Regions from separate parts of the Mus musculus genome. Here regions 1, 2 and 3 are each reported to be linked to region 4. The links are microRNA targets in miRTarBase. Many come from high-throughput screens and were not tested one by one. Region 4 holds a microRNA gene; each other region holds the end of a gene's coding sequence.
The links. The annotated mature microRNA mmu-miR-717 reads CUCAGACAGAGAUACCUUCUCU and lies in region 4 at 1,091-1,112, opposite strand. An mRNA with a match to its seed (bases 2 to 7 or 8) in the 3' UTR can be bound and repressed. Matches are read on the target gene's strand: a 7mer-m8 pairs with bases 2 to 8, a 7mer-A1 pairs with bases 2 to 7 and ends in A, and an 8mer does both.

Region 1 (3,138 bases), not on the chromosome of region 4:
AGTCCTGTGGCCAGCTTTGTGACAGTGTTTCTATTAAATTATTCCCCCATTAGGGCAACATAGAAATGACTATTAGTTGAAAACTTACACATTGAAGAAATGTCTTAAACTGTAGGGAAAAAAAAATTTCAGATTCTACTGAAGATTTCCTCTGGAGCATCTGCTCTGACCAATAGGAACCTGCAGGGCTCTGAGGCTCTGAAGAGGCTGCCATTCCCCTGAGGGCTCTGAATGGGAGGAGGCTGCAGTGTGGGCATGTTCGCTCAGTGACTTAGCAGTACTGGCTGCTGTACTGCTCATGTGCGGAGGAGTTTCAGCCGTCAGAAGTGACCGTGTCTTCTGTTTGCAGGCATCCAGCTCAGCGAGTACTTGCCAGAGGTGACGGACCTACTGCGAGCAGAGCAGCTGGGAAGCCTCAAGTCCAACTCTTACTTTGAGTTTGTTCTGAAAGCAAATTATGAGTATTATGTCCAAGGACAGATGTGACATTTGTAGAAATGGTTGTTTCTAAAATTTGTGTAAATATTTGCTTATTAAAAAAAAATATTGAGGCCAAAAAACTTAGGTCTGGATCAACCTGAAGTCTGTTTTGTCTGCAGCAACCAGGTTTTCTATGCTTTATATGGGAGCCGCGATATAAAAGGAGGGGCCCTGATGCTCTTTTTCAGCTGTAAGGTATTTCCTCCTCCTCTTCCACCTGAAGTCACCCTTGCTTCTGTGTAGCTGCCCTTCTCCAGCCTCCCTCGGTCCAAAGAGGCAGCAAAACAAAACAGGTTGCCTCGCTCCCCAACTGGTTGTCCAATACCAGCCCTGAAAAAATATAAGAATGTGTATAATAATATACATGAATTTACATGCAAGTAACGTTCTATGGGCTGAGCAAGTGTGTCTGTTTATTTGGGTCAGCAATTAAAAGATGCTACAGGTTGGAGAGCAGGGCAGCGGAAGTGAGGAAGTGTTGGAGATGGCAGGGGACGGGGAAAACAGATTGCCCTCTGCATGTGGCACTCTGGGAGTCTCTGAGAAGCTGATCTCTTGGTCGGAGGCAAAGGGAAGTGCCTGCTTAGCAAAGTGAAGATGAGATGTCACTGATTTATACTGTGGCCTAGAAACCAAAACCCTGGGTCTAACTCGGGAGGGTGGGCAGCTGGTAACTCACTGGGAATGTTCTCACTTCCTACATTGATTTAAAAATTACAAGCAAGGGGCAGGGCTGGAGAGATGGCTCAGTGGTTAAGAGCGCTGTCTACTCTTCCAGAGGACTTGAATTCAATTCCCAGCAACCACATGGTGGCTCACTACCATCTGTAATAGGTCCCAGGGCCCTCTTCTGGTGTGTCTGAAGACAGTGACAGTGTACTCACATATATAAAATAAATCTTTTTTAAAAAAAAAGTTAAAACTTAAAAGCCAAAAAAGCCATATATATATGTGTGTGTGTGTGTGTGTGTGTGTGTGTGTGTGTGTGTGTGTGTGTGTAAAATTAAAGGATTAAAAGTGTGGGCCACTGCATCCATCAATAATGGATAAGTCTTAAAGTGTTTTAGTAAGATGTTTGTGTGGCTTTCTGAGCTGTCAGTAAGTTGTCATTGCTACCAGATATGGTACTGGCATTGTCTGTGACCCCAGTATTGACTCATAAACCTAGGATGGTTTCTAGTCTCACCGTAGACGGTCCCTTCCTAAACATCGTAATGCCAAGGCTGGTCTACCCAGAGATGTTGCTCTGAGAGCTCTGGCCATGGCCTACCTGTCTGAAGAAGGGGGCTAAACCTTTATGGCAACTATCGCAGCTTCAGAATGGTTGGCATGTAAACTTACTCCAGCAGTAAAAATGAAATTAAGACTTTCAGTGTTGAATATCTTTCCCTCCTAAGTTTTAAAAACTGGTCACATAATCCATCTCTGAAGAATGAATGATTTGTTTCTAAGTCAGGTAGCTAAGACTGTCTCCTGGTACCCGGTGTACATTCTTGGGATCCTTCTCTTGTTGGCCTATCCGTTAGTTCAGCATGAACTAGTTAGGACTGTGAATGGCAGCAGCCACCCTTGTCCCTGAGGTGAGTGTGCTGTATTCTGAGGATGTGTGAGTCAGTCAGGACCTGAAAGGGCCCTGGCAACCTGTACAGAGCACAGGGGGAAAGGTTTTGTTGTTTTATTCTCTTGACTGGATGCTATGGGGAGAGCCAGAGGTCTGCAAGACAAATTCATGGTGTTTCGGGCTGTCATGGTTGGTCCCACATTCTGAGTGTTCCCAGTGTGGCCTCCCCCACCACTGCCAGTCTGTCCTCAGAATGGCATAATATTCATGTATAAAATACAATATATGTTGAAAAACAATGTGTATATATGTTGTATATATTTATCATATGTGTATGATATGTGCATATAAACTCTGGCTGGCCTCAAACTCTCAGCCCCTGTGCCTCAGCTTCCCAAGTCCTAAAACTGCAAGTGTACACACCAGCCCTGGCTAGAACAATTTTTTTAAGGCGTGTGAAGCCTGACATTGAGCTCATATCCAAAATAAACACAAGTAACTGGTGGACCTGGAAGCTGGGCTTCTGTTTTGAAATGAGCTTCAGTCGACCACCTTTTGTATTGTGTGGGCAATGGTGAGTACTTAGCACACCTTTGGACTTCTGTTCTCAGAGGAGCTCCAGTTTTCCTTCTCCTGCTGGGATGGCAGGTCCTTGCATGCATCTGCATTGCCTTAATAAAAACGAGGTTTTCTTTTTGTCTGCTTTTCACTTGTAAGAACCAGCTCCTTACGCTCGGCCGCCCAGCCCGAATTCAGTCCCCAGTGTGAGTGGAGAGGGGACCAGCTCCCTCTCCTGTCCTGTCCTGTCCTGTGACACGCGTGCCTTCCCTGTCAGGCTCTGAGGTTCCAGAACTGCTGCTGCAAGAGTTGAAAGGGTAGAGCCGACCTGTGCTGCTGCTCACTAGGGAAAGACAGACTGATGCTAATACAAGCCTAGGCTGCAACAGGACTGAGGGATTGCCGTGCTGCCTGTTAGTTGTCCTGTTTGCTTCTGGTAGATACCGCAAGGACTTACAGGATGTGAGGGGTAAAGGGGCAAAGGGGGGGGGGGGGAGATTAAGAAGAGGTGTGGGTGTGTCGCATGGTGGCGTAAGTGC
Region 2 (3,138 bases), not on the chromosome of region 4:
CTTCGTACCACCATTGACCGTGCTAAGCCTGTCTGGTAAGACCCAAGTCCTTGATGGCCTGGAAGATCTGGAAGCAAGCTAGAGAACAGGCAGGAGCCACCTCTGACTTCATCCTTGTCACTCCCCCTCTCTGTTTCTCTCAGGTATGCTGGCCGAGACCCGGCAGCTGCTCCAGCCACTGGCAACAAGAAAACACACCTGACAGAGCTGCAGCGCTTTCTGGACACAGCCTTTGACCTGGACGCATTCAAGAAATTCTCTTAGATGCTCCTGGAGTTGATGAGGCCATGGCCCCCATGTCCATGACGCTCTTTGCTTCTCAACTAAAGAATAGTGCCTCAGCACTGTCCACACGTCCCTTCGCTGTGCCACACCACCCCTGTTCTCATAGGAATTAAGTTGTCCACTGCAGTGCTCAGCTGCTCCCCGGTCACATGCTGCCCAGCCTGTGCCGACTTCTCTCAGGCTGCACACCGTTCATGGAGACCGGAAGGAGCAGAATAAGGAAAGGGCCCCTCTCAGGACATCCTAGAGAAGGAAGGCAGCTCTGGCCCCACCCATGCCCCCAGTGCAATCCTCCAGGGTAGGAACAGAACCCTATGTGGCTTCCCAGGGTACTAGCACTCAGCCCTCGTCACCCATCAAGTCGCAGATTCAAGGCCAGGAGTAGTTTCATCTTGCTAGGGCCAAGCTGAGAGCTCATGGAGGAACTATAGCTGCCAGGATTTGGGAGTCATCAGGATGTTGTGTGAATAGAGATTGTCATGGGGTATTTAGAGGACTTTAGCAGTGATGTTAGTCTAGCCCTGCTACCCTTCTTGGGTTTGGGCTGTATGTGGGAAACTTACCCCAGCTACCACGCCTGGAGAGCTTGGCTCTGAGTACGGCCCAGAAGCTCCATTGGCTCCCAACGCCAGGCACTGCTGCCTCTTGGTCCTGCTGCCTCTGCTCTCCTGACCCCTCCCCAGTCACTTCATTTTCTCTGTTGTTCCCTTGAACACACAGAAGCTGTTGACGAATTCTTTTTTTTGCTGTGCCAAGGCAGGTCAAAAGCAGATCAGTGGATAAGAGCAAGTTGTCCCAAGGAGCCAGCTGTCCTTCCTCCCTCTTTTGACCTCCACTGGGACACACCTGATTTATTTATTTTGGTTAAAAAAAAAAAAGGAAATGAAAAAAGAACAACCACCTTTGCATTGCATCGGCTTGACCCATAAACTAAGTTATCATGGCCAGCCTGCCTGCTGTCGTGTGTTCCGCCTCCTCCCTGCCTGCCTGAGAACAGTCTTCTTGTTGGGGTGGGGGGGTCCCAGCTGCCATTTGCCAACTGGATGTGTGCCCCACAGCTTTCTGTTCCCCCTCATGGGCAGCAGCCATTATCAACAGCGCAGCCTGGGCCTTCAGCATCTCATTTCCCCTGCCACCCATTATCTTGGTTTTAGGCATGTCTAATAACTACAGTCGGCACCAGGAGAGAATGTCCTGGGACAGGAACAATGCCCCTTACTCTCAGAGGTGGGACTCACAGGACCAAAGTTTGTATCTGCCTGTGGTCGGCATGTTGCTGTCTGGTATCCCCTTCTCCCTTGGGACAGCCAGGCTGTTTTGCATACAAAGCTGGACTAGAGGAAGGGAAGCTTAGCGGGGTGTGGGTGAGTGCAGGACAGGATCTCCATAAGCAGTACACCTGGGAACGCCACAGGAGAGCTAGTTCATTCATGGGGGGGCAGGATTTATATGGCCATGGACCATTGGCCGGGGCAGGGGTGTTGGAAGATACCTCATCTGCATGCTCAGGGGCAACACTTTATAAGGTCAAACAAGTGAAGCCTGATAACTGCCAGGTAATAAATTCTACTGGGGTTGATGATGGTGAGGAGCCAGGTTTATGGTGCCATGTTCAGAGGGGGAGGGAGCCAGTTCATGCAGCCCTCATGTTTAAAGTATCCAGTGCCCTGGGCCATTACGGACCCACACTTGTTTTTGAATTTTGTTTTGCTTTCAAGAATCAAATTGACTTTTATTATTCATATACTTTGTAGAAAGGGGGATTTAATAAACAGGGTAGAGCTGTATGAAGGATAGGGTCCTTGGAGGCAGCTAGTCTCTTCCTTGACTGGTCTTGTGTGGGCCAGGTAACTATGGTTGCCTGCAGTGGAGGTGTCAAGCCTAAGGAGGTGTCATTTTGTAACCTTCCCCCTGACTTCCAGCTATTTGGGGCTTTCTGTCCCCTCCTGCAGTGTTCTGAGCCTTCAAGACAATGGCATGAGTAAGTTGTGAAGGCTGGACCCACATCTTGATACTTGTTTTCTGCATCTTGGGCAGCTAAGCATCTGCCTTCTGTGTTCATTCACCACCATTCAATGTAAGAAGATGCTTCTCAGCCGGGCGTGGTGGCGTGCGCCTTTGATCCCAGCACTTGGGAGGCAGAGGCAGGTGGATCTCTGAGTTTAAGGACAGCCAGGGCTACACAGAGAAACCCTGTCTCGAAAAAAAGAAAAAGAAAAAAAAGAAAATGCTTCTCTGATGAAAATTGGGCACCTCTTTTGTCTAACGGTTTAAATAGGTATTTAGAAAGCAACGTGTTGGGCTGGTGAGATGGCTCAGTGGGTAAGAGCACCCGACTAAGTTCAAATCCCAGCAACCACATGGTGGCTCACAACCACCCGTAATGAGATCTGATGCCCTCTTCTGGTGCATCTGAAGACAGCTACAGTGTACTTTACATATAATAAATAAATAAATAAATCTTTAAAAAAAAAAAAATAGAAAGCAACGTGCTACTACACCAGCTTAGTTAAGTCCACAGGGACAGCTATCTCCACAGGCCTGGCTTATTAGACAAGCTTCTAATACCAGGCACTGACACCCCCATGAAGGAGTCTTGAATCCTTTAACAACTACCACAACACACACACACGTCAAGACACTATTACACACAAAGGCATATCATGGTGTTCCTATTGGTCTCTTTGTCCTCCTCTTATCCTGGCTAACCCTCCATCTCACCTGCCTACATTTCCCTCCTATGGCATCCTTCCTTTTTGCCTGTGTCTACCATCTCATCTCCTTTCAGAAATGCCCTTCCCGGGCTGGTGAGATGGCTCAGTGGGTAAGAGCACCCGACTGCTCTTCCGAAGG
Region 3 (3,122 bases), not on the chromosome of region 4:
AAAAGAACACACACAATATGTACTCACTGATAAGTGGATACTAGCCCCAAAGCTCCAAATAACCAGGATACAATTCACAGACCACATGAAGCTCAATAAGAAGGACGAGCAAAGTGTGGGTGCTTCTGTCCTTCTTAGAAGGAGAACAAAATACTCACTGGAGCAAATATGGAGATAAAGTGTAGAGCAGAGACTGAATGAAAGGCCACCCATAGATTGTCCCACCTCGGAATTCATGCCGTACAGCGTTACCAAACCAGACACTGTTGTGGGTGCCAAGAAGTACATGCTGAAAGGAGCCTGATATGGCTGTCTCTTGAGAGGCCCTGCCAGAGCCTTACAAATACAGAGGTGGATGTTAGCAGCCAACCACTGGACTGAGCTCGGGGTCCCTAATAGAGGAGTTAGAGAAGGGACTGAAGGCATTGAAGGGGTTTGCAACCCCAATAGGAAGAATAATATCAACTAACCAGACTCCCCCCAACCCCCCACTGCCCCAGAACTCCCAGGGACTATGCCATCAACCAAGAAGTACACATAGCTCAAGCTGCATATGTTGCAGAGGATGGCTTTGTCATGGATCAATGGAAGGAGAGGTCTTTGGTCCTATGATGGCTTGATAAATAACCCAGTGTAGGGGAATCAAGGGCAGGGAAGTGGGAGTGGGTGGGTGGGTGAACACCCTCATAGAAGCAGGGGAGGGGGGATGGGATAGGGGGCTTCTGGGAGGGGGGTAAATCAGGAAAGGGGATAACATTTGAAATGTAAATAAAGAAAATATCCAATAGTAAAAAAAGAAAAAAAAGGATGTATTTATTATTTTATATATGAATACACTGTAGCTATCTTCAGACACACCAGAAGGGGGCATCAGATCCTATTACAGATGGTTGTGAGCCACCATGTGGTTGCTGGGAATTGAACTCAGGACCTCTGGAAGAGTGGTCAGTGTTCTTAACCACTGAGCCATCTCTCCAGCCCGTGGTGTTTCTTTTTTTCAAAAAGGTTTGACTTCTCTGTGTACAACTGTCTTTGCTTACATGTCTTTGCTTACATGGCCTTGTGCACCCCTGGAGTCTGAGGCAACCAGAAGCACTCTGTGGGTGCTGGGGACAGAGCTCAGATCCCAGACAAGAGCAACCTGTGCTCTACCCGCTGAGCCAGCTCTTCAGGCCTGTGTGCATGGCATTCCTTAAGAACATGTGCCTGCACAGGAAACCCCGGTCACACCAAAAGCAGGCGGTGTGCCGTGAAAAGGGTCATGGAGGCTGTCTTGAAGTGTGCAGGTAGAACTGCTCGCCCAGAAGGCCAGGCTCAGGTGAAGCCCCCTCCTTACCCGCTGCTGCAACCGATAGCTGCTTTGGGCTTCACCCTGAAGACCTGTGTCACAGTTGTTGAGAGATGAAAGAGTGCCAACTAACAACTTCCCGCTAGCATCTGGGCCTTCCTTGGCCACGTCCTCGGAGGTCTTGTTTCTTCACAGGCTGTCCTGGCAGAAGGAGCTTTTCCGCCGTGAACAGGGCTGGGCCGTGCTGGGTAGAATTATTAAAGCGTGGCACCAGATTTGAGTTGTGTGGCCATTTTTCTGGGTATCAGCGTGATTGCAGACCGCGATGACCATGCCCTCTACAGAGGAGCTGGAGTCCTTCAAGTACAGGAACCTGCAACATTTAGCCAAAAGGCTGGGTCTCCGGGCTCCCCTGTGGGCAGACAAGCTGTTCAGAGCCTTGAAAGCACACCCGAACCCAGAAACCGGGCAAGAAAATAAAACTCAGGATGAAAATCAATCTGCATTCTCTCTCTGTTGAGGAGACTGAGATACAAGGTAGTAGTGAGGAGCAAGCTGTCTACCCCAGTCAAAAGCTCTTTTCTATCAAAACTTTCAGACGTAATTTGTGTAGTGTCTCTTGTGTGCTATATCTGAGAATATGTTATCACCTAAAAGTTAAAAAAAACAAAACAAAACAAAAAAACCAAGATTGATTACAAAGGCGCAGTGCAGCGAGCAACAAGCTCGATTGGGGCAGGGCTATGACTCCTCTCTCTTCCTTTTTGGCCTGCAACTGAGTCTGCCCTGGAGCCACCAGCACTGCTGGATGTCCTGCCTACCGAAGATGCTCATGGAGCATTCATCTAAGGTCACTTATAGGCGCCTGCAGGCAGCACTGTGCCGTCGAAGCTGTTCCCTCACCCCAGGACCCAACACTTTGTTTTTTAAGTACCTGGAGCTGGGAAGGGACCTGAATAGTGCCGGACAGAGGACAGGGTTCGGCCTGGTTTTATAAGTACCACGGGAAGGCTACAGAGAGCAGCACAGGGCCTTCACACAAACACTGACTGGACACGGTCTTCTTTCACCATCAGGTTCACTAGCTTCTCTCTTACTGAATGGTTCATGCCTGCTTTTTGTCCCTGGCATTTTCTAGTTCTGCAAGTACTAGAGTACAACGGGCACACCCAGGCCACACTGAGATCTTAAACAACGCCAGCTCCTCCAGTTAGTGTCCCCTTTCTCCATGGTTTCAGTGACTTCTGGTCAGAAGCCACGGCTGTGGTGAGGTATGGGTTAGGAAGCGCGGCTGTAGACAATGGTACCTGTGACACACTGAGGGGCTACGGCAGGATTAAAAATCGGAATGTTCTAAATGTCACCTAGAGGACAAACACCGAGACAGAACCACCAGATGCCTGACATCAGTGAGCCTCATCTGTGGCACAAACAGCACCCAGGGCTTCCAGCTGGCAGCAGAAGCTGGCAGCCACTTCAGATAAGTCTGTCTCCTCCACACGGCCCCCAGCCTGGGCCGAGCACCTGTCAGCAGAGAAGAGCTGGCTCTGTCCTCAGGGCTGGGCTCTGAAGATATTTTTCATTTCCCAGGAAGCAGGTCCCGTCTTCCAAGGTCCCAGGAGGGCTAGGCACGCTGCATGGCCCCCCGCAGGGAGCTTTGGAGAGCACAGCTTGGCCGCTCTCGGTGCCCACACTCTCCTCCTCTTCGTTGGAATAGTTGCCCGAGTCCTGGCTGGTCTGTGAGCTGTACTTCCTGAGGTCCTCCTCAGGCGCGTGCTTTACTTCTACAGCGACCGTGTCTGTATTCTCAATGATGAAGCATCTTTCCGTGTGC
Region 4 (3,000 bases):
CCACTGTTTGCTGCAAACTATCTCTTCCAAGTATCTTTATGTAGTGTCTGTGTAGCTTGGATGCTACAGTGTCTCCACTCAGAGAAGTGAGCACTAGCAGTGATGGGAAATAAGTTACCCAGGTTCAATGTTGAGAATCTAGCCATTAGACCAAGAGATCACGCTCTTGCTTGGTTTTATTCTTGTAGTGCTAAGGATACATTTGAGTTCTCTAGGCTGAAAATGCTCTCTAGTAAAGCACCGCATTGCATTTGCAGGTGTTATCCAGCCCTCTCTGCCTTGCCCCATGGCAACTGAGGCTAGGGAATTAGACACAAATGCTGATCCTCTGGTTACCGCCATTGCTGTGAGAAATCAATGGTTCTGCCCTTAACTCATGCCTTTAACTGGCTTCCGTAAAATGGCAGTTGACCGACGTATTAGCTTGTAACTGAGGAGAAATCCCAGACTTTCCACAGTTGTTGAGAGCATATTCTCATCTTATCAGTTCATTGATCATGGAAAAGAGATTTAGAAACATATTCCCGAAGACAGCACGAAAGAGCAACTCTCATCATCACGCTGTCCCTCACCTAGGTGAAGGCAAACAATGCTAGATTTGCAGAGAGCCTATTTTATTGCCTAAAGTAATGTAAAATCTGCATGGTTACATCAGGATGAAACATTCAAAAGCTTTCTTCATATGATTAGTTTTGGAAAGTTCCTGTGAAATTAACACTCAATAGCGTCAATTCTTCCTTGTAGTCAGTCTTTCAATAATTAGGTCATCTATGTTTAACCTTTCTCAGGCTGAGACAGTAGGACCATATGTTCAGTGCCAGTCTGTGAAAGAATCCTCAAAACAGAACAAGAGACCAAATCACCACCTTTGTCCGATAGCAACCACTAACACTATTTTTATTGTGAATGTTAAAAAAAAAAAGATGACAGAATGTAAATTTTCTGTCATGTCTGAAACGAACCTCATTTGAATAATATTGCTTATTGCAGTTTCCGATGCTGGCCTGCAGACACTAATGAGGTACTGAGATAGTTGCTGGATTTATCACTTCTGAATCCCTTCGGAACGGAGAGCAGCTTCTATGAATTCAGAGAAGGTATCTCTGTCTGAGACTGAAAAATGACGGTACAGTGATAGCGGACAAGGAGAGAAGCTCGGACAAACTGACATCTGAGAAATGGCCTCAGCCTTCAAAGGCAGAGACGAAAGGTAAGGCTAATCTTGGAAATTCTGATGACTTACAGTCACTCACACAGACAGCAAAATGCACGAATTTGACAGTGAATTATTATTGCAGCTCAAAGGGAGAATCTGCCTCCAAGCTTCCTACCATCCATGATTAAATACTGACTGTATTGCTTCTTCAAACATTGTAGCCAAAGAAATGGGTGTGCCCAGATATTGGCATAGGTTAGGCTTTCAGTAGACAAAGTTACTACCTAAGGAAAGACCAAAGTAGACGTCTGAATATAATTCGATATTCAGGATAAATACCAGATAGCGTGAAAACTGTCTTTGAGGCTAGCTGGTGATTCAGCTCTGTGTCGGAGCAAACACTTAACATGCACAAGGCCCTGAGTTCCATCGCTGCAAAAACCAAGATGGCTCTCTGTTGTTCCAGTGGGTGGGGACTCAACAGTGCAAGTGGAATTTAATAGAGTTTTCAACATTGACAACACTAACAGGTAGAGCTTATACAAATATTCTCTTAGAAACTATTCTGTTCCTTTAAGTGTTAGGAATAGGAAAAGAGAAAAGGGGAAAAAAAACAACCTCATGTCTTTTAGTTCTTCATTGGGAAATAGTAGAGCAAGAGTCTCCATGGAGAGAGAATGAATTCAAAAATTGATTGTGCAGCTGGAAAAACAGTAGGGAGTAATACAGGATATTAAATAATATAATAAAAAACCAATTTAGGCTGTGTTTGGGGAACGAAGATTCTAGTGAATAGAGAATGGAAGTGTTTGAGAGAGCAATATAGAGTCATGGTAACAAGCAAGAACTTGGGAGTCAGACAGGCCCAGCTCTGAATCTGAGTTCTGAGACCTGCTGGCTTAGTGACCCCCTAAATGGAGCAAAAGAATCTTCTATGCTCAGCTTCCCTACCCTCTTGATGATGCTCAGTGTCCAGCACATGGCTTGCATGATGAAATGTGTAATAGACATTTGCAGAAACTCTTCCAGGGAGTTCCAAAGTGAGTCACAATGACAGAAGAAAGGGAGAAAGGGTGGTGATACAAAGAAATTTTGTACAACTTTCAGTGAAACGGTCTAAGTCAAGGTAGTAAAATTGTGGTCCAGGAAACCCTAACCCAGGGGCATGCTAAGGAGAGTCAGCAAAGTACACTAGCAAATATGGAAAAAGAAAACTGCCAGCAGCCAAGCAAGAGGGTAAGAGCGTGAACTTAATAGAGAGCAGGGTGGGTTAGGTGGGAGGAAAGGGAAGGGAGAAATGCTGTAATTAAATTACATTCTTGGAAATAAACAACAACAAAAGAGTATATGAGCAATTCTATTGTGGACTAAAGACAGTCAATGAGATTAGCTACAGAAAATTTTGGCAACTATTCTGGGAGAGGAATAAATGCCAGACATATAACAGATGAGTGAGTTGTACATGAAATACACATAATCTACATGTAGATATATGGTAATGGTAATCAAGGTGACTCTGAGACAAAAACTATAGATGTTTTAAATACGTTTTACAGGGGCTGTGAATGGTAGAGTGGTTGCCTAACATGTACACAAAGCTGGACTCCATTCTCTGTATTATGAAAAAAAAGAAGCCATGGTAATCAGCAGTGCTGAAAGTAAACACATTCTATATTTAGTTCGAGGTATAAAATGTGGAATTCAATAACATGCTGATCAAATTTTACCCAAGTACACTCAAAGGATCAGTGCTCACTTTGGGGTAAGATATGTAATCAATCCATTTGAAGATCGGATTGGAGCTATTATTATTAATACCTTTTGGAGGGAAATTTTCAGTACAG

Region 1: the mRNA of Nup133 is a reported target of mmu-miR-717. Seed matches in the 3' UTR shown: 8mer at 1,337-1,344 and 8mer at 1,752-1,759.
Region 2: miRTarBase lists Ogdh as a target of mmu-miR-717. The part of its 3' UTR that is shown has no 7-base or 8-base seed match.
Region 3: miRTarBase lists Ifnar1 as a target of mmu-miR-717. Seed matches in the 3' UTR shown: 7mer-A1 at 1,882-1,888 and 8mer at 848-855.

What each region holds. Positions count from the first base shown.
Region 1 is chr8:123,896,722-123,899,859 of GRCm38, reverse strand. Nup133 (nucleoporin 133) reads left to right here. Exons shown (of 26, transcript NM_172288.2): 26 at 350-2,737. The coding sequence ends at 486. It overlaps Gm29773 (a long non-coding RNA gene), which reads right to left. Exons shown (of 3, transcript XR_879336.3): 3 at 724-810. Among named protein-coding and RNA genes, the nearest start is that of Gm29773, 3.5 kb to the right of the region's middle.
Region 2 is chr11:6,355,411-6,358,548 of GRCm38, forward strand. It overlaps Ogdh (oxoglutarate (alpha-ketoglutarate) dehydrogenase (lipoamide)), which reads left to right. Exons shown (of 23, transcript NM_010956.4): 22 at 1-35; 23 at 144-3,138. The coding sequence ends at 264. Among named protein-coding and RNA genes, the nearest start is that of Zmiz2, 38 kb to the right of the region's middle.
Region 3 is chr16:91,505,105-91,508,226 of GRCm38, reverse strand. Ifnar1 (interferon (alpha and beta) receptor 1) reads right to left here. Exons shown (of 11, transcript NM_010508.2): 11 at 1-3,122. The coding sequence ends at 2,816. Among named protein-coding and RNA genes, the nearest start is that of Mir6367, 21 kb to the left of the region's middle.
Region 4 is chrX:52,421,371-52,424,370 of GRCm38, forward strand. It overlaps Mir717 (microRNA 717), which reads right to left and starts at 1,145; the gene lies at 1,037-1,145. The region is part of intron 3 of Gpc3 (glypican 3); the gene reads right to left.